Schizosaccharomyces pombe: one gene and its partners. The protein of the gene in region 3 purifies or fractionates together with the protein of the main gene of each other region. This does not show direct contact. Each region holds a gene or a part of one and is shown on either strand. Other genes may lie near its edges. The genes, in order: tea3, rga4 and tea4.

Evidence for each region.
Region 1: the proteins of tea4 (region 3) and tea3 purify together in Schizosaccharomyces pombe (affinity purification with western blotting, with the first as the bait; one study listed by BioGRID). This does not show direct contact.
Region 2: the proteins of tea4 (region 3) and rga4 purify together in Schizosaccharomyces pombe (affinity purification with western blotting, with the first as the bait; one study listed by BioGRID). This does not show direct contact.

What each region holds. Positions count from the first base shown.
Region 1 is NC_003424.3:3,213,298-3,220,421, reverse strand, and holds tea3 (cell end marker Tea3), read left to right. Parts: upstream 1-2,148; 5' UTR 2,149-2,354; coding exon 2,355-5,732; 3' UTR 5,733-5,909; downstream 5,910-7,124. Other genes in the region: cardiolipin-specific phospholipase Cld1, read left to right, coding at 184-1,470; DNA-binding transcription factor Thi1, read right to left, coding at 6,116-7,124. UniProt on the Schizosaccharomyces pombe protein: Acts as a cell end marker required for efficient new end take-off (NETO), whereby growth is activated at the cell end to generate bipolarity in extending cells. Also required for proper placement of the septum.
Region 2 is NC_003423.3:1,836,890-1,844,218, reverse strand, and holds rga4 (Rho-type GTPase-activating protein Rga4), read right to left. Parts: upstream 4,804-7,329; 5' UTR 4,597-4,803; coding exon 4,510-4,596; exon of another isoform or gene 4,373-4,509; coding exon 4,317-4,372; exon of another isoform or gene 4,175-4,316; coding exon 3,825-4,174; exon of another isoform or gene 3,762-3,824; coding exon 1,453-3,761; 3' UTR 1,032-1,452; downstream 1-1,031. Other genes in the region: protein Cbp7, read right to left, coding at 1-758; SPOM_SPBC28E12.02 (BICC1 family RNA-binding protein), read right to left, coding at 5,901-7,329. UniProt on the Schizosaccharomyces pombe protein: GTPase-activating protein for Rho-type proteins.
Region 3 is NC_003423.3:585,785-592,606, reverse strand, and holds tea4 (tip elongation aberrant protein Tea4), read right to left. Parts: upstream 4,249-6,822; 5' UTR 3,879-4,248; coding exon 1,413-3,878; 3' UTR 1,173-1,412; downstream 1-1,172. Other genes in the region: fap1 (L-pipecolate oxidase), read right to left, coding at 4,826-6,064; protein Vac8, read left to right, coding at 6,698-6,725, 6,771-6,822. UniProt on the Schizosaccharomyces pombe protein: Cell polarity factor essential for the bipolar localization and function of structures containing the cell-end marker tea1 during the normal cell cycle.

The DNA of each region.
Region 1 (7,124 bases), on a different chromosome or scaffold from region 3:
ACTTACCCACAGCACAACACTTTGAATTCCAATTGCCGAGCCAATATCCGGAATTTTATTTAAATATCGGAATTATTTTGTTTTAAATAGTTCATAAACAGTAATTTGTTTGTATTGTCATTATCGCGGGGTTGACTCCTTCATTGACCATTTTGTGTTGAATTCAGCGTTTGCACCGTTACTATGAGCCAAGTGAAAGTCGCGGTGAGAAGTGAGGAAGCAGCTAATTCTTATACGCAAACGTTTGGCATGTCCTGGAGGCAATGGCGTCAAGCATGCTCTGAAGAATATGCGAAACAATGTGAGCGTGAAGTCCTGCACACTGTCGATTTTATTCGGGAAAATGAAAAGGACCCAGAAAGGTTAGTTGAAGTTGTAGATTCCAAAATCTACGATAATGATGGATTGGTACATGAGGTTTGTGTTAGTGATAAAGCAACAGGAAAAGCGAACAAGCGAAGCATTGTTTACATGCATGGGTATGGAGCTGGTCTTGGTTTTTACTTTCGGAACATGGATGGTTTGACTAAGGGTGTGACAAAGGATTTTAATTCTTATTTTGTTGATTGGCTAGGCATGGGAAACTCGTCAAGACCGCCTTTCGATATCAAGGGGCAAACCGCTTCAGAGAAGGTCGAAGAAACAGAGAGGTTTTTCACTGAGTCATTAGAAACATGGAGAATCGGTCATGGTATCGAGAAAATGATCCTTGTGGGCCATAGTATGGGAGGTTATTTGTCTGCTGTCTACGCCATGCAATATCCGGAACGTGTTGAGAAACTCTTACTAGTTAGTCCAGTTGCCATTCCTGAAAACCCTTTTGCAAGCAACGATGATGCGGAAGTTTACAATTCCGTTGCTTCCTCTGCTGTGCATGCTGTTATGGATGAACCTCCTTTAAGTAATGTTACTAATGAGGTTCTGCAAACCCAAGAGGAAACTACAGGTTTAGAGCCTTCCCGGCCAAGCAAGCCAAAGAATCCTCTTCCAAGATTTATCACCTTCTTATGGGAGCAAAATGTTACACCATTTTCTCTACTTCGTTTAAGCGGGCCTTTAGGTCCTAAACTAATGAGTTTTTGGTCTAGCAGAAGGTTTTCAACGCTTCCCCCGGAAACGTTTAGGGCATTACATAATTACTGCTACTCAATATTTCGTCTCAAGGGTTCCAGCGAGTATGCACTTGGCAATTTGCTCGCTCCCGGAGCTTTCGCTAGACGATGTATTATGAATCGCTTGCGCATGTTGAAGTGTCGAACTATATTCATGTATGGAGATAAAGATTGGATGGATGATGTTGCTGGTTTAGAAGCGACAAACAGATTGAAGGAGATGAATATTGAGGCGGAGCACCACATAATTTCAAATGCTGGTCACCATTGCTATCTTGATAACCCTGAAGATTTTAATGAGATTGTACTAAAGGAGATACGAATGAGTTTACGTTCTTTTTCTTCGATTTCAGAGTAAATTTTTATTTTTTATGCCCTTCGCTTAGTGCTTCATTATTTTTATTTATTCTTTCTTGTCCTGCAAACTATCCCATGTGATGCTGTTATAGACCTCATTCATTAATTTATACTACACATTATTCTTTGGATTCCAATTGAACGACTTTTTTTTACCTAACTTTTTATCGGTCCATTTTGAATCGATTTTTATTGCATTGACGCTCATTTGCTTCATTTATCGCAATTTTATTTTTTTGTCCGATTACTTGTCCAGCATGTGTTTTCAAATGTTTTATTTTTAAAATGTGCCTTATAAATCAAATTTTGTAATATTTGTAGGCCATTTACTACAATTAGCTTATAAAGTAAATAACAGTTTTTGTGGTTGTCTATTTTAAATTCTATCCTATAGAGTAATTGGAAAAATACATTTTTCTTGCTCTAAGCTTTTCAAACGTGAAGCATATTTCGTACTTCTAAATTTCAATTCAAACAGAGCATTCAACGGTAATGTATACTATTGCGCTTAAACTTGTATCTACTCTCCCTTCTTTATGTTTAATGAAGATATAAATTATAAACATCATACAGTATTACAAAAATTTATTGTAGGGTATTGCAATTGTATTCGTTGTTCTAAGACTTCTCTACTCTAAGTTGCCGTTTCCTGATGGACTGTGTGTTTCCATTACCCTCCACAAGTTATGCTCTTTTCATATTATTTCGAAAATTTTACTTTTTAATTCTTTTTTAAAACTAAAATATATATTTTTTCTATTTTATTTCTTTTTTAAGCGTAAAAACCGAACCTTTTAAAAAACTCCTTGGATTAAACTTTCGCTTTGATTACCATCTGCAACTGCAAAACCAGTAAGCGATTTTGCAAGGTAAAGATCGCAATACATGGTTCAAAAGGTTTTAAGCCGTCAATCGGATAACTCTCAGGATGTGTCTGCTGAACAGCTTGATGTAGTGGAATCCGGTAGCATTGATCAGCAAAATATACGTGCATGGGTTGTTCGCAAAGTCAAAGAAAATGATAAAAGGACATCTACGAACCAAAGTTTTAAATGGGAAGCTGTAAAACCGGCTTCTTGTCTAGATGCTGCGAATGAAAAATTCATGTACTTACATGGAGGACGAGAAAAATCTGGTATTTCAAACTCTTTGTTTAAGTTGGACCTGGATTCATGCACGGTTTATTCTCACAATAGAGGGGAAGACAATGATTCTCCTGCTCGAGTTGGTCATTCTATCGTTTGTTCTGCTGACACTATTTATCTTTTCGGAGGATGCGACTCAGAAACAGATTCCACATTTGAAGTTGGCGATAATTCATTGTACGCATACAATTTCAAGAGTAATCAATGGAATTTGGTTTCAACACAGTCCCCCTTACCATCGCCTCGCACTGGACATTCTATGTTGTTAGTTGACTCTAAATTATGGATATTTGGGGGTGAATGTCAAGGAAAATATTTGAATGATATACATTTGTTTGATACCAAAGGGGTTGATCGGAGGACGCAATCAGAACTCAAGCAAAAGGCAAATGCAAATAATGTTGAAAAGGCTAATATGGAATTTGATGAGACTGATTGGTCATGGGAAACACCGTTTTTGCATAGCTCATCCCCTCCACCTCGTTCAAATCACTCAGTTACTCTTGTCCAAGGAAAAATATTTGTACATGGAGGGCATAATGATACTGGTCCATTAAGTGATCTTTGGCTTTTTGATTTAGAAACACTTTCATGGACCGAGGTTCGTTCTATAGGAAGATTTCCAGGTCCGCGGGAAGGTCATCAAGCTACTACAATAGATGACACGGTTTACATTTATGGTGGTCGTGATAATAAAGGGTTGATACTCAACGAGCTTTGGGCTTTTAATTATAGTCAACAGCGGTGGTCCTTAGTCTCAAATCCGATCCCTATTTTGCTTTCTGATTCATCTTCATACAAAATTGTTTCAAAAAACAATCATATTTTACTATTATATCTTAATGCACTTGACGCTCCTAAGCAACTGTTATGTTATGAAGCAGATCCCAAAAATTTGTATTGGGATAAGGATAAATTTTCTGATATTCCTGTTCTTCAGCATATTAGCATGAAACCTTCAAATGCTTCAAACCACACGGTTTCTCTTGGTTACCTAAACGACCGTCCTAATCATTCCAAAAAGAATTCTGTGACATCCACCTCGTCTAGTCAATTTAACAATTTTTTGGAGCAAAATCAAAAAGCCGTAAGATCAGCTAGGCATCGGCACTATGCTAGCTTGGATGAACAAGGATTACATTCTTTGAGAAACCTTAGTAAAACCTCTGGAATGAATCATTCAGCAGATTTCTCTCTTCACGAGTTTGGGCAAGCTGACCCCTTTGCTTACGAAATTGAGAAACCTATTGCGTCTCTTCCTTTACCTAATGGAAACGATACTATTTCTAGGTCTTCCGAATCTTCATCTCCAATCAACGAAAGTGAAAGTAATTCTCTGCTTAAACTCCAATCAGATTTTAAGTTTTCTAATTCTGATGATCGTGTAGCTTGGCTTGAGGAGCAACTGTTATATTGTATGCAACAAGGCTATACTCTCAAACCTCCTAACCTGTTTCAACACGTTGATGAAAAATTGAGGCTTGAGAAAAAAGAGCAGCTCAGTTATTTGGAAATACTGAAGGTGATTGAGCAAATGCTTGAATCTAATGAACAAAAGTTTAAAAAGCAAATCGTTAGCCTAGCATCTGAAAACGCAAAATTGGCTGCTCAGAGAGATGCTGCCGTGGAAAATGCAAATTATTCACGTTCACTGATCCAGAAAAAGACAACGGACGAAACTGTTGGATCTTTAATAGAAAAAGTTGGAAAGTTAGAGTACGAAGTTCAAGGGACTCTTGAAGAGGCAACCTCTTATTATCAAAAAAATACTGAACTTCAACAGTTATTGAAGCAAAATGAATCCGCTTCTGAACTCTTAAAATCTCGAAATGAGAAACTTTGTGTAGATTATGATAAACTTCGTAGTGTGTTTGAAGAAGATTCATCAAAAATACTATCTTTACAAAAAGAAAATGAAAACCTACAATCACAGATATTGCAAATTTCAGAAGAGTTAGTCGATTATCGTTCTCGTTGCGAGGCTTTGGAGTATGGAAATTATGAGCTGGAAACGAAGCTAATTGAGATGCATGATCGAGTGGAGATGCAGACAAATGTGATTGAAGCATCCGCTAGTGCTCTTGATGTGTCCAATACTGCCATATTGTCTTTTGAAGATTCGCTCCGTAGAGAAAGGGATGAGAAAAGTACGTTGCAACAGAAGTGCTTAAATTTACAGTACGAATATGAGAATGTTCGGATTGAGTTGGAAAATTTGCAATCTCGTGCGCTAGAGTTGGAGTCAGCCTTAGAACAATCAGTGTCTGATGCTAAATACTCGAAAGCTATAATGCAAAGCGGATTATCAAAGTTATTATCTTCTATTAACGAAAATAAAGATAATCTTAAAGAGTTTTCGAAGTCGAAACAAAAGATCTCCTACTTGGAGTCTCAGCTAGAAGGGCTTCACGAGTTGTTACGTGAGTCCCAGAGACTTTGTGAGGGTCGCACTAAAGAGCTACTAAATTCTCAGCAAAAGCTCTATGATCTAAAGCATTCATATTCCTCTGTAATGACAGAGAAAAGTAAACTTTCTGATCAGGTCAATGATCTTACCGAGCAAGCAAAAATTACTCAGCGTAAGCTCTCTGAGGTACAAATTGCATTGGCTGATTCAAAAATGAATCAACAGTTATCAGGAAAGGACTCTACTGACGTTCATCTTCCTACGGACTTTTCAGCTTCCTCCTCTCCCTTAAGATCATACTTTAACGAAGAGGATTCATTCAATAATGCTAGTGCTGCACATAGTTCAAAAGAATCTGACATACCTTCTGGTGGTGTGTTTACAAAATATCGTAATCATTTTGGTAATTTGATGACATCTGAAGAAACAAAAGCCCCGGATAACAATGATTTACATAAAAGACTTTCTGATGTTATCAACAGTCAGCAAAAATTTTTGTCTTTGTCCCCTCAGGTATCTAAAGATTATTATGATGTTCGCTCAAAACTAAATGATACCGCGGGCTCATTTTCAGGTGAAGAAATGCGTGCAATTGATGATAATTACTATGCCAGTCGTATTAAGCAACTGGAGGATGATTATCAAAAAGCCATAACATATGCCAATTGCTCAGATGAGTCATTTCAGCAGCTTAGTCATTCATTTATGTAACTCTATTCATCAACTAAGGATTTTTTATCTCTTTTTTGGTTTGTACAATTTTCTTAATAATTTTTTGAAGTGGTTTGATTTTTTCTACTTAATCTCAAGTCGTTTGACTACGTATGTAAATTACCACTATATTTAACAATAAAATACGCAATTATTTCTACTGCATTTACATTGACTCATTTATATTTTAAAAAGTAATGAAATTTAATTAACTTTTAAAAAGTAAGAGAAAATTTAAAGTATTAGATTGATGAGGATACTCTCAAGTGCAAATTACTAAACTGGTATTAAATGCTAATTCCTTAACCACGCGAACAAAGCATATGATGAATTACGTAGAAATAATTAAAACAAACAAAGACCTGCAAAAAACCATTAAAGATTCATCCATTTTTTTCAAGGGTCAAATTTGAAGTTTGCTCTGCAGTATGCGAAGACTGCTCAGAGACATTAGTAGGGCCTAGCAGTTCCGTCCAACTCAAAAACGTAGGAGCCGTCCATTGTTTATCAACTTCCAAATTGAGAACTGGATCCGGTAGAAAAGTTTCAGGTGTGAGCAAACTGGGTTGGTTACTAACATAACTTTTGTTTAGACCCGGAACATTATAGAGAGATGATGTTTGGTCAAAAGGTTGGAATGCTTCGTTTGGAGTACTATTACTACCATTTGAGCTTTCTCCTGTAAGCTTAAAGGTAGAAAGCATGTCTCCATGTGACATATCTCCCACCCAGGATTGCCAATTTTGAAAACTATTTTGGAAATCTGCAATCGGATTATTAATGTCTGGGGCATTGCGCCTAGATAACTGTTTGTTAAATGACTTAAGGTAGTTTAGACTTTCTCTAGCAAATTCACACCTTGAACTCAGAAATTCCAATACCTGCCATAATTTTGTGACTACAGCTTGAATATCCTGAGAGTTTTCGTAATGAAGAGACAAGAGTAAAATAGGTGCGCTTGCAAATGGAACATGCAGCCCGAAAAACGATAAGCTGGACAAACACTTATGTGTTAATAAAAGATGTGCTATGTTTATGACCCTTGTTGCGCTTTCAACACATAGCTGGATGTAGCGACGATTTTCAGCAGTTAAATCTTTATCTTTTAATTTCTTTACCATAATAACTCTCGTAGTAAGCATAATCGCATTATCATATATCATTTGAACATGTGCATTTGACCGGAAGAGTGGATGCTGAACAGCCGATTCATCAAAAACCACAGAAGAATGTAAATCACTTTTCCAAAGCTCTAGACGAGCATAAATCCTACGGACAGAATTAACTTGCGATTCAAAGCTTGGAGAAGGGTTCCAGTACAGCGAATCGCAAATCTCATTTGTTAACTTAGCCAAGTTAATAACGGCACGCATGTTTTCGACGATAGACTGA
Region 2 (7,329 bases), 1.3 Mb from region 3:
AAAAATGATTTATCAAGAATATGGAAATATGGTAATTTAGAAAGTACTTCGATCCACGCATTCGCAGCTTTTTGCCTGAGTAATGGAGTAGGAAAAATTTGAATTAAAAAAGCCATAGAGTCACATAACTGTGCAGAAAGCATCTGTGAAAAATTTGAAAAATTTACATAGTCCCTTTCAAAGGAACCCATCAAGTCAAGTAAAGGGGACCTTTGGTTTAACGGAAACTGTTTACAGGCTCTAGCTACCGTACACTTCTCCAAAGGTGTACGAGGAAGTTTGCTAAGGTTGAGACGATAACTGAAAGAATCACTAATTAAATTAAATGGAAAAGATTTGAATAGAGTTTGGAACCTGCCAAGGTATATTCGCGGTCTGGTTTCAGTCTTTGGAAATAAACTGTAGCAATCCTCCCACAAGGAAACACTTTGATTTAAAAGTACAATGGTACTAGTTTCATCAAGACAGCTTCCAAATCTTTTCAAAAGGCTCCTTGTTTTGGTGATTTTAGAGTCCACAAGTAGGCATTCTATATGTTTGGGCTTTTGACTTCGAAGAAGAATGTTGTCAACTCGTTTAGGAATTGCAGATGAATTTTTTTTATAAACAATCGCCTTTGGCTCTAGCATTTTGCTGTGCAGCTTACAATGGGTTAGGATAACCGGTCTTTGGTCAACTGGTTTTTTTATTTGAGACTTTGCGACGAACCAGCCGGCTTCAGTCGGGCCCAAAATGCATCGTTTAATAACATCTGCCATTAGTAAAATTCCGTAATTTTGTTCACATAGATAATAAAATATCCTGCTTAAAGACCCTCTTTTCTCAAAAAAAAGTGGTAGTAAAACAGGAGTTGGTTTTTTGTTAGACGTTCGAAACTCTATTTAACCCCCTTCAAAAAATTTACCATATAACGTATATAATTTTTGTTTATAGGAATTGCTTTTGGTTTTTTAGAATTCCATTAAGATAATGGGCATGATATATCTACAAAATCACTTACTCACAATACGTTGCACTAGCATTTCCTAAGTTAGGGATCTTGGGAAAAAATGCTTCTTTAAATCCTTGAAAGCATAATAAAATTAAAAAAAAATACAAATTTCTCCTTTTTTATACATGCAATTGCATTTTATTCATAGCCTAGCATTGTGAGTAATGCCAAGTAGACTAAAACAGGGAAATGATTAAATAAAAGCGATGGATGTCAGTCTGCAGTGATAATGCATTATGAAGAAGCTATACGCCAAATCCATAAAACACTCATCTGCCACTGATTTCACGATGACATCTAAAAATGACCAAAAATGAAACTATCTTAGCAAATGCAAAAAGGAATCTCGATATAACTGCCCAAAGTTATGGTACAACTACTAAAACAACAAAAAAAGACGAATAAAGAATATAAAGGAACGTGCAAAACAAAAGAGCGAATTATTAAAGGATAGTGTGAATTTAGGCAAAGACTTCATGTACATGATCTATCAAAAACGCAAGACTGTAATTCTTAACAGTCATGTCAATAACGTCTCTGGAATTATCGGGGTCGCGTATTAATGTTGGGGAAAATACTACTGCAAGGTTCTTGGATGTCATTCGATTTGCATGACTATATGCAGCAACCCTTGCTAAATGTCTAATAATGAGCTGCAAAATTTCAGCATGAGCTGGAGGAAGACTTTTGATGACCATTATAAAACCGTCTAATTTATCTTGGAAAGAGGCACAATTTGCTGCTGTGATGAACGGAAAGTATTGGTCATAGGTAATAATTGGATTAGGAAGGTTGCGAAGATATTGCTTGAATACAGAAGTGACAGCAGAAATATCCTCACTTGGATCAAGTACCGTATCTTCATTTCTTAGTAACGCAACAATTTTTTTCATTTGAGAAGTTGCCCCTGATTTGCGATACAGACCTTCAAAATCCATGCCGTATGACTCGATAAAATTTATACAAGAAACGATAAGCGTCGGGACTCTCAAGAGTGTTAGCCTGTTTTGATCGAAGTCGTCAGGATTCAAAGCCCAAACAGGAGATTCGCTTTTTTTAGATTGATACTGACGATCTATAGTAGAACTAACGCAATCCTGATAATGTGCTCTAAGCTCATTGGAGTATTTACCGCAAAGTTTGCAGTGACCGACCGCTGGAACGAAATCCTCTTGTTCTTCAGAAGCTAAATGTTCTTCAGAAATACTGGGAGTACTCGACATGTGAGGAGAATCTCTTTTCCAATGAAACCGTTTAGAAAATGACTTCTTAAGATCTATTTTAGAGTTCCGTTTGTTATACCCTCCACTCTCCTTGTCTTTATTGTCTTTGGGTCTAAATCCAAGGCTAGATGCAACCATTTGTAGACGCGAAAACGATTCTCGCGGAGACGGGGTTGAAATCGTTCGGTTGGATTTTTTATCATTATTAAATATTCCGAAAGAGGAAGAAGTTCGCTTCTTATGCTGCTGCTCCCTCAAGTATGCCAATTCTCTCTCCAATTGATTGTTAAGGCTTACCAGTTCTGTGTTCTTAACATTCAGATATGCGGTTTCTTCCATTACAGTGCTGTAAGCGTTTTGCAATTTAGAGACAGTCGTAGACAAAGCGTCTCGCCTCAAAAGTAAGGTAGACAGTTCAGGTTGAAAAGATTTCCGTAAATAATCTAATCTATAATTTAAATCTGCAACCAACTCTTGCTTGAAAGCTTCGGGGGACACGGGAGTCTGCTGCTCTATGATAGAAGCCAACGAAGTCGCTTCCAACAATAAGGTTCCAACCTCAGCTTGAAGCTCTGAAATACGAATGGCGAGTTCATTTGCGCTTTCCTCTGTAGCATCAAATACGTTTGAAGTAAACACATCACTTGCTCTAACCAAAGAACTTCGATTGTATTCAGGTTCACATGCTTGATGCAAACTAACTTGCGACAAATTTAAACTTTTGGCCCGCGGGGAAGCCTCATAATTTGAAGAGTTCGTCAATCTTTTCTTCAAGCCGTTTGGTTCGCTACTAAGTCGTTTGTCATCTAACTTATTAAATACCGTAGGATATCTAGGAAATCTAGCCTTTGTAGGAGTTTCGTCGCTTTCCAATCCGTTAACGTAATATTCGTCAAGATTAGATAAACTGTTTCGATTTCTAGGAACCTTTAAATTACATTTATTTGTGACATCACGAAGAGCACCCCTTAAATGGATAGGAGATAGAGCTATTCTGCCAGACACATATCCATATTTAGATGGTGATGTTGTTGTCGAAACAGATTTGTAATTCATAGTAGAAGAGCGGCGAAGTGGAGGAGGATTAACAACGCTTTCATTTTTAGGAAGTTGAGGAAGCGTACCATTTTCGGTTGGTGATTGAACAAAGGCGTGATAAGCAACAGGTTGCTGCACGCTATTATTATTTACTACTGAGCTTTGCCTTGAAGAAACTGGTTCAATTGGTATCGAACTTCCAGAATGAAAAGAGTCACACGAATCAAATGGAGAGGCATTAGCTGAACGAAATGAGGGACCATTAGCTAGTGGAGAGGGAGAGGTTTTAACGAAAGAATTTTTGGGTTTAAGTAAGAAGTCCTTTTGGATGTCTTTGTAAGATTTTGCGGAGTTTATATCACCAGGTGTTTCATAACCATTAGTTTGAACTTTTAATTGAGGACGGAGAGAGTTTGTAGGAGAGCTGGTATTTTGCATTCGACCAGATAATACGGAGGATGGAGAATCAGACGCTATAAAATGCGGGTTTTGAAAGCCTTGGTTTTGCCCTAAAATTAAAGTTAGAAACATAAAGACAATATCAATAAATACTACATAAGCAACAAACTTACCAGTTAAAGAAGTGTTTTCCGCAGTTTGTGCGATATTCCTAAGAGGAATAAACCCTGATGCGCTTTCCATAACAGCCTTTTGATTCTCTTCATCTTGTTTACGCAAACAAGGAAGGCAGTAATGTTGACCTTTGAACTTGCCAAAAGCATTTGAATTAATGAAAGCTCGACAATTGGAGCAACAAGGATGATTAGCTTGACTATTGCTTACTGCGTTGAACTCGCAAATAGGAGTTGAGCAACCGTTGCAGATATCAACACATAATTTACAGAATATTTGCTTTTGATCGTCTTGAGAAAAATCTTCAGAGGAAGGGTCTAATTTTTTGTTGCAGTTCACACATTTAAAACTAGCAAACCGTCTTAATTAGTAAATCAAAACAACAAGAAGCACAAACAAGGGTAATCTTTGGAGCATTTTATATTTTTTTATTCAATCTATAAGAAAAAAAAAAGATCCAAAAATCCCAACGTTTGCATTTTCAATCATACCAATCGGAATGCCAACATTTCCCACCGAACCAAACTTGAGAGGTACTGGGAACACTCTAGAGCAAAAGTTAGTAAATGCCGTTCATTACAGCTGGGAAAAAATAAAAGAGCAGTGTCCAATTTCAAGACAGGGTCTCGTTTTGTGAAAAGACCGCTCTCCGGACACGGCGATTAAATTTTGAACCTCACATACTTCCCAACATTTAATACAAAAACAAGTACGTTCGGATGGCGTCTCCAAACTAAGTCTGTCCAGATGAAGTGTCGTACCCGAATTCATAAGGAAATCAATATTCTGAAAATTAAAAGAAAGGTGTTTCCCAAGAGAATGGATAGGTAAATTACACCAGCTCAAAAAATGAGCGGCAGCTAAGATAGAAAACTCTTTACGGTTTTATTCAAAGTTTGTTCTTGATTAAAAAATAAATAAAAATACCAAGGCTTTACAACATTTGCTAGCTCTTTTAAACTCGTAGCCGTTTGTGGTGGAGGTCAAAGAATAGGACCTTTGTTTATATAGAAGGCTACACTGGCATTTGTTCCTTTTGTTACCGCTATGGCTTTGCAGCGAATAAACCACCAGGTTTCGATCTAGCTATTATTAATATTTGCTTATTTTCCAGATTCTTTCTATATCGTTTCCTTATGTTTCATACTTTGTGTAAGTGATGGTTGCTTCCTTCATATTATTTTGAGATTTTGAAACATTTAAAATGATATTGCTTATACAAATTTATCGAGATTTATTGTACGACTAAAAATGAACTATACAACATTCCCCCTGTTCATCTTTCGTTAGTGTTATTAGCAATCCTGTCAGCGAGAACGAAGTATTGCTCGACTCTTGAGAAAAAATAAGAGTGGCTTGTTTCTGTGCTACTTGATTAGTTCGTTCAGTTAAGCGTAATATAATTTGTATAAAAAAAACCGAAGAAACCCAATAACCGCAAAGGGTGCATTACGGTTCACACGTCTTTTTTTATAGTCGAACGACGTCTTTATGTTTAACAACTCTTGTGTAATCCCTTTTTGTTTCTTTAATTTACTAATTTAATCATCATGCATTCCAAAGAAAGTGGATGGATTAACTCAATATCGTTTTCTCATCAAATACGATTCTAATTAACTGGTCAAAGAGTGTTAGATGTCACAGCGTATAGCAAGTTGATTAATAACGGTTAGTGCCAGTTTCTACTTCTTTTTACTGAAAAGATGTTTGTTGTTATTATATCAATCTAGCTGTGTTTATCGACGTTTTATCTTTTGTTTTCAATGACAATTTATTAACAAAATAAGAAATAAAAAAGGCATACGAACAGTGGTTGCCGTCCTGCACAAATCGTTGAACTGCTTAAAGTTTAAACTTGTCATGTGCTTCAAAATTCTGCGTGGATCACGTTCATTAAATTATATTGTGCACTTAAGATGTGTATCAAAGTTGATACAGTGGAGCACTTTTGATTTTCAAAAAATTTAGTTTCCGAATTTAATAACCAGCTTGAGTGTCTGTTATGGACATAAAAAATATAACGAGAAAGTGTGGTGATCTATGGGCAGGTCGATGACTGGATTCTGACTTAAAATTCAATTAGCAAACAAATACTTCGGGATGTCGTATCCTAATCCTTCAGCTGTCTTAATGAATAAAGATCGGACGGCCCACAAATTTTCGGAGAACTTTGATGGTGTGCGAATGAGCACGTTGTGCCCGTAACAGTCAAAAGGAGTAGTTGAGAATTCAATGTAACTATTATAAAGTTTAGTTACACGTTGGATTTGCTCTCCTCGAAATCCAATGAGTTTTTTGTGAATCTCCTCTGGAACGTAAAAGTGCATCTCAGCTGGAAATTCAAGCAACATTGTGTTCATTCCTTTAATTACTCTTTCCAATTCGTCACTATATATATCAACCGTGAATATACTCGTCGACTGGGGACAAAACAAGATGTCCCCATTCTTTAAGTTGAAACGGCATTGCTGCTTTACCTTATCCAGTTTTCCATTTTTTTTACCGGATATGAAATCTTGATCCTTGGTTGGGGCTTCAAGCAGTATCTGGTGCCATTGGGATTGTCCAAATTTATAAAATATTTTGCTTGCTTTATCCATTGCTATAGGCACGGTGTTTTCTTGTCCGAAATATTCAATCCCATTGGTTTTTAGGAGCATTTCGACTCCAGAAGCCATGCAAATTATTGCAATTTGAGCTACAAATTCTGTTGGTGGAATACTTAGCTTCTTAAGAGGAGAGAATGACATTTTTTCTCCTATTCCATTTGTTTCCACTATGGAGCCAGTCGAGGATACAATAGAGGACAATTCAGAGCTTGAAACTCCTTTTTCAATTGTAGACGCTCTTCTCCAAGAACCAGCAACTCTCAGAAAGTCTTCGTTGTCTTCAACTCCAAACTGAGTTTTTCCTTGTACATATTTACTTGCAAGCTTTGCCAATCGGAGTGCTGTTTTTTCAGAATTCGCTATAGAAGATGAGTAGATTTTGACTTTTGAATTTTCTGGGCTCGTTTCTCCTCCTTCTTTGAAATACTCAGGAAAGCGAATAAACGAAGAATTTTCTTCCATAATAAGCCGAAGCTCATCCATTTCGTAAGCGAGAAATTCGAAAAGCTTAACAAATGAAATTTCTGTTACGTGAGTAAACAGTTTTAGATGTTCTTCTGCGTAATAAAACGCCTCTTCGAGTCTTTGCAATTTTTCCTCTTCTCCTGTAATAATTATTTTACTTGAGTTTAAGGCGGGTAAGGTTTGAAGCCGAGGGATTGAGTCGCTGCAAAACGGTAATGTATAAATATTAATTGATTCAGTAGCCTTCATTCCGGCAGTACTAGAAAATGCTTTTCCAACGAGAATTGGCTGAAAAGATACAGAAGTTGCAATAGCTACTACCGATAATCCTCTGATTTCATCCATTAATGCTAATACGCGAATTCTAGCATGTTCAACGCTGCAATAGTCACCATAAAAGACAATAAAAAAAGAATTCTCTGCGTTCTTT
Region 3 (6,822 bases):
TCCTCTAATTTTTTAAGCTACTTATTACTTTCTGTTGCAAGTAAAAAATCATGAATTTTAAGGCTCAGTGTATAAGGGTTTGCATATAATTCAGTTCTCGTTTTGTGCTGCATATTTAATTTTTTGAGTAGTCAAAAAAATTAGCACAAGTTGTAAACTTCACATTGTCCACTCGTGGTGGCGTGTTAAAAAATTACTTGATGTTTTAAACTAATACTTCTTATTTCGCATTCATAAAAAACAATGTTGAGAATAATCATGTATGGTGGTTGTACAAATGAAAACGGGTCAATTCAAAATGCATTTCATATCCGTCTCATTCTAAATTTTTCGTTATTTAGTCGCTTCGAATTATTGACTTTGTTTACTGTACGAACTGTTTTCTTTATTTAGCGCATATTGAAGATATTTGCATACTTTTTAGGAACTTTGTTTCTTCCTACAAACTCAATTCGTTACAGAAATAACATTGCTTTGTCTTTCCAATTAATAACAAGTCGTAAATTTGTAAAGGAATAAAAATTTTATTGTTCATTCTTACTTTTCCATGTTCCTTTACATATCTTCGTGCAATTACTAAAAGAATATTAAAAGTCAAATTTGAAAATTTCGCCCTTCAATTATGATGATGGTGAGAAATTGGTAGTCAAGATGCTAATTATCATCTAATTTAGCGTGAAAATTACCAGTGAAAAAACATAAATTATTTATTATGAGACAATCAATATGCCTATCGCTTACAAAATATACATTTAAATACACCGTTGGTTTGATGATGAATCCGATACCTTAAAAGTAGAAGCAGATGATATTCTCATATTAATGATTAATGAACATGTTCATCGTTTGTTAATATCTCATTTTTTTCGTTTAAAAGAGAAGAGAAATATTTTTTAATAAGAATCGCTATAAATCGTGCTAATTTTGTTTTTTAATACCCTATTGAATTTGATTCATCATGCCACATAAGTAAAGTACACTGGCTTATTTTTACGGATGCATAAAATCTATCATACCCTCAAAGCCTACTACTATCTGCTTGAGTAGTTTACATTTTCACTGCTCGCATTACTGTACAAAAAATATGATGCAGCGATACTATAATTTGAAATGGCATATAAGATAATTACTAGCTCATTTAATACTTCGGTAGATTTTACTTAAACACATTTATTTTATAGCGCTCAATAATCCGAATCATACCCGCACATTGAATTTTAGACCTTTATACAACTATGGTATGCTGTTAGTTATTAAAAAATATTATTAACAAGAAAAAAAAGTCAAACATAAAGACATTAACAAACAAATTTTTGAAACAGTTTAATCAAACAGAAAACTGATTTATAACGAGTGTAAATAGTTTGATAAAGGGGAAAAACATGGTATAACTTTTAAATTAATCAAAGATTTCAGCGATTCGTATTTAAGAGGGAGGCCATCTCATCTGATAAACCCTTCAATACGTTAGCAAAAATATCATCCAAGTCCGAGGACACCGATTCACCCTCGATATTACGAGAAACTCGGCGGGATGCCCTTACTCCCGCTGATTTTACACTCCAATATAGCCCGCTAAGAGAGTCTGGATCCAATATAAACTCTCTCAACCGACGATTAAATTCTTTGTTTTTAGTACTAACGTGGTCGTTATCGTACGCATGGATATCAGAAGCATGAGCCGAATCAACGAATGGCACCGAAGAGGAGTTATTATTTAATTCCGCAACCACAGATTGCTTGAATGGATTTTCATCATATTGCAAAGAAGCAGGAGAAGTGATAAGAGAGGAAAAGGAACTAGAAGAGGTAGATTCCTCTGTGTTCTTTCTTGGTAGCAAATCCTCATCGTGTGAAATCGAAGAGCTCGGGATTGCACTTGAAGCATCTAACTCAGGTGTAGGTATAACCATTTCCTCATTACACTCCAATGGAGCCGGGGATTCGTGTAGTAGCTCACGCATTTCGCTTAATTCATCTGCTAAACTTGTAAATCCACCCGCAAAACTTCTTCTGTTTATTTCGTTATTTACATGATGGTTACTCAATGTTGATAAATCTATTGAAGATTGAGAAAATGCTTTACGCTCCGCTGTTATGTATACAGAAGACGTTGTGCACTGTGCATCACTTTGCGAGGAAGAATCAACAGGTAAAGACATCTGACGAAGAAGCGAACTTGGTGATAATTCAACCTTATCTGCTTGCTTTCGGTTTTCGCTGTCTTCTTCGTCATCCTTTTGGAATCCTTTTGTTGGAGAGGATGGAGTAGATGAAGAGTATAATCGAGGGGAAAGAAGCTTTTCAGATGGCATTTCAATCGATACCGAATGTCGAATAGGGTACACTTCTAATTGTTTTAAGGATTGAACTGATAAATTATTGGGCATTTGACCAGAAATTGGTTCCTTTTCTACATCGTTTGGGGCATCCTGAGTAACATTAGATGTGTCAAAAGAGTCACTCTGAGAAACTATAATTGATTTTGGTGCATTCAATGAGATTTCCTTGTTATCACGAGATACATCATGAGTAAAGTTAGAGGATTCCGATACGGCGGAATAAGAAGAAGGCCGCAATGATTTATCAGTATTAGATGTAGACGAATAAGAAGAAAATGAAGCATTCGATTGCATTGCGTCAACTGATAGTGATCTTCGCAATGGAGAATCAACGGTTGCAGATGAAGCAGTTTTATGCTTATTTGCTATCCAAGTACTGTAAAGTGAAGGATCAGACTGGGTGGCATTGCCATATAATTCCTTGTTTCCTGCTATTGAGATATTTATTTTACTAATATTCGAATTTTCAGCATCTGGGTAAGCTGATGAGAATTTAGAGTAGGGGGAATGTGAATTTTTCGAATCTGCAGTAGTGGAAGAGCCATTAATTTCTGTTTCAACAATCTCAAGACCAAGGGGGGATGTACTTTGAAAAGAAGTAGAGTTAAACTGGTTAAACCCACCTTCCAGTTCAGTAAGATCCACGTAAGCAGGACTATCAGTTACATGATCCTCGGATTCGGAACGGTACTCAGCAGAGAGAGAAGAATCACTACTGTCCGAAAATTCTATTTCAAGACCATTCTCTGCGACAGTTCGGTTTACCATTGCCTCATAATCATTTTCAGAATCCATTTCATCATCGGAAGAATTAGAAGAACAAGTAAAGGTAACGCGTTTTATACGAAAATTTGGGGATGGAGCCTCCAAGGTTTTTTCCACAATATCTAAAGGCGGGAGAGTCACAGACTGCTGAGAATTGGACGTTTCCGAATTTTTATATTTATTTAATCGAGCCAAACGCTCTGAAGGAGTTTCAATGTATTCAGCAGGTAAATAGCCTATAGCCAAATTTTTGCACATTTTTACAAGCCACCAATAACTATTAGAATCATCTAATAAAATCATCATGTCTCCTTTAGTAGCATCAACTTGTCCTTCAACAGTAGCTTCGAAGCCTCGAATGGCATGAACAAAGTTGCAATCAATAACCTCTTCGTGAATAGATGGGGAAGAACTCAATTCTGCCTCATATAAAGCGTATTCTTCCTCTTCGTCCATAAAATCATCCTCATCTTCAGAGCGAAACTCATCATCTTCCACTACTTCATTATATTCAGTCCCACAATCCTCAAATTGAGACGATGTTAATGTAGTGTCTTCTTCTTGAGAATCGCTAATTTCTTGCGACGCTACAGTTTGGGGTTCACTATTTTCTCCTGATATAATCCTTTGTATCTCGAATGACTGCTCCAGATATTCTTCCGGAGAGTAACGACTTTCTATTATAGTGCTATCATTCTGTTGTGTCGGGTCAAAATGACTTTCCATAATTTCCATGCTGTCAGCACTACTGGCACTATTCATGTGTAACATATTGAAACAATGTAGTTAGCTCTCATGAACTTGAACAAATGTGCAAAAACAGCAAACACACTTTTCAGGTCTCAAAAACCGCTACTCCTAATGATAAAAACAAACACGTTGCAAAGGGATAAGAAACTCTCAACCTCATACAATTTATAACTGGTAAAAATTCAGGATACTGGCTAAAACGCTAGTGAAAACGGAAATACCGATCCTGATGAACATACACTCAAGTTGGGTTGATTAGAACGTCAATCGTAACAACGAATCCAGCAAAATCTTTTTGAAAATAAAACGATCTTGCTCTTCAAAATGTTAACATTCCAATAACTAGTGTAAAAATATAATATATTAACAAACTAAGTCGCCTCTAAATATTGCGGTAAGATATGCGTACTTGATGCTACGTAAATCCGAGATTGGCAGATAACGTAACAGTAAAACGTCGTTTAACCGATACAACGAATAAAAGCGAGTACGGTATTTGCATTTAAACAAAAAGCTTCTTGATCATTTTATTCTATTTTGATTTTTTTTTTTATGTTATTTCTAATTAGATTGTCAAATTTAATTATTTATAAATGTTTGAATTGCATCTAAGTATCAAAAACAACCTCAGTAAGCTGTGACGCTTTAGTTCTCTTAAAGCCAACGAGTTAGCTATATGATGCATATCTAAAATAATTGAAAAAAAGGTTTTACTTAGCATGCTTTGTAATATTAATTCAGGACATAAAGTTCGATGTAAAGGGTATAGAAAATGTCCCTGTTTTTATTCGAAAACAGTAAACCGACATAATCGTCTGGATGTTATAAAGTTGATGTTAATTGTTAATGTGTATACATTCAATGCTCGTAATATTTCGAATGAAGAAGAATCAATTAGTATTCAACACAAAAATAAGGTAGCCTAGAAAGATAGACGCTAGCCTTTCTTTTGTTTAGCATTGCACATCTTAGCTTAGCTCTTGTCGAGAGGGTCCAGCTCGGCTGTGGTCTAAAGCAGCAAACTCCAAATTTTCTTTCTTCCATCTCCACTTCTTCAATAAGGGCTCCTCTAACTCACGAAACATACACCCTATGCTATACTTCCCGAGGATTGGAAAGAATTTGAATCCATGGCCTGAACCACCTGTGCATACAAACAGATTTTCATAATCTGGATGATAATCAAATACAAACTCGGCATCGGCTGTGTCGGTATAATAACAAATACGGGTTTTGTAAAATGGCCTTTGACTAATTTCTTCGCCATAAGTACGTTGAAGGTTTCTGCGTAAATCTAATTCCGCTTCCTTGGGCAGGATAGGAGAAACGAGAGGTTTCTTTGGTGGAACAGATTCGACTTTTCCGGATTTAAGATTTTGCATTCTCGTAAATCCGTATCCATGGCGTGCAAATTTTAGATAACCATCGGGGGTAGGGGGAAAAATATAAAATCCAGTATCAAAATCTAAGTATACAGGATTTGTCAAAAAGCGGATGTACTCCTCAGGAGTCAATTTTATGTATGCGACTGGTTGACCGGTTGCCAAGAATCGTGTGTGGTCATTAGGTAAAAGAGATGCAGTCCATGCACCTGTAGCAAAAATAAGTTTTTCGGCCATGTAAGCTCCAGTAGTAGTCCTCACGCCTTTAACAACGTTTTCTTCTGTTATAAGCTCTTCAACAGTTCCCTCAGGTCCGCTAATGAAAGAAACACCGGCATGTGCTAAGTAATTAACTACGGATTTCACAGACTGCTCAGCGTTGGCCCATCCAGAACTAAAATTGGCATACCCAGCTTCTCCATCATTCAGCTCGCCAATCCATTTTGGAAAAAGTTTCCGCAATTCTTCTGTAGTTTGAAACTTTGCTGCTGACACACCCATTTTTGTCAGGTTTTCCAGACTCATGTCCCGATACTCAACATTGTCACGGCCAACAAACATAAGTCCTGATCCATAAAATTGCTCTTTAAAAAGTGGATTTGTGCGCCATTCCTCTAAAGCATCAATACCCATTGAACAATACACTGCATCCGCATAGTCTGAACGAATTATACGATTTGCATCGACTGAAGACCCATCGATAACAGGCGGAGGTGCTCGATCCAAGATTTTGATCGTATATCCACCACGTTTAGTCAACTCTAAAGCTGCAGATAATCCAAACACACCTGCACCAACAATGATTACGCTAGTATTCTTTACCATTCTTAATCCCAAAAATATTACAGATGCGGTTTAAATTAAATTTTAAAAGGTGGTTTAGCAGTCGGGCTTAATATATATTATCAGTACTCATTGCCAGCTACTAGTACTCCAAGATAAGGTGCTGTCTAGCGAAGTCAGGCATCGATATCGCAAAATCACAGTCTGTTGATACTTCTGATGTTAGCAGTAGTTCTTTTGATACAGAGTTAGTCACTTAGAAAGAATGAAAATAAATCAACTAAGCGAGTCTGATTTGAGCCGTGCAGAGGGAATGTGCCAATTTGCTAGCACAGGTCATGCCGAGTTATCAAAATCAACTATGGTCCAAAACAACCGGGTGTTTATTTAAAAATTATATTTTAGTCTTTATTTAAATGAACAATATCTTTTATTTTCACTCTATAGGAAAAATACTCTTCGCACTTGTCTTGTTTACATTTTAATTCTCCGAAACTCCACTTCGTTAACTAGCTTTGCGAGGTTTTGGGATTTTATAAGTTTGTTTATTGTACACTGTAAGTAACGTTATAAATGGATAACACAGCAACCCTGTTTTGCTAACTGTCCTTGCAATTTGCTTTTACTGTCACTTAACTTCCTCCAAACACTAAACAATCATATAAACAAAGTCAGATGGGCAATTGCTTGTCTTGTTGTGAGAGTATGAGTGCTTCTTTAAATCAAAAACTTATTAACAAATACATAGAATCAAAAGATGAACAGTATGAGCCTCTTTTGGCCGATCGGGAGAGGGAAGC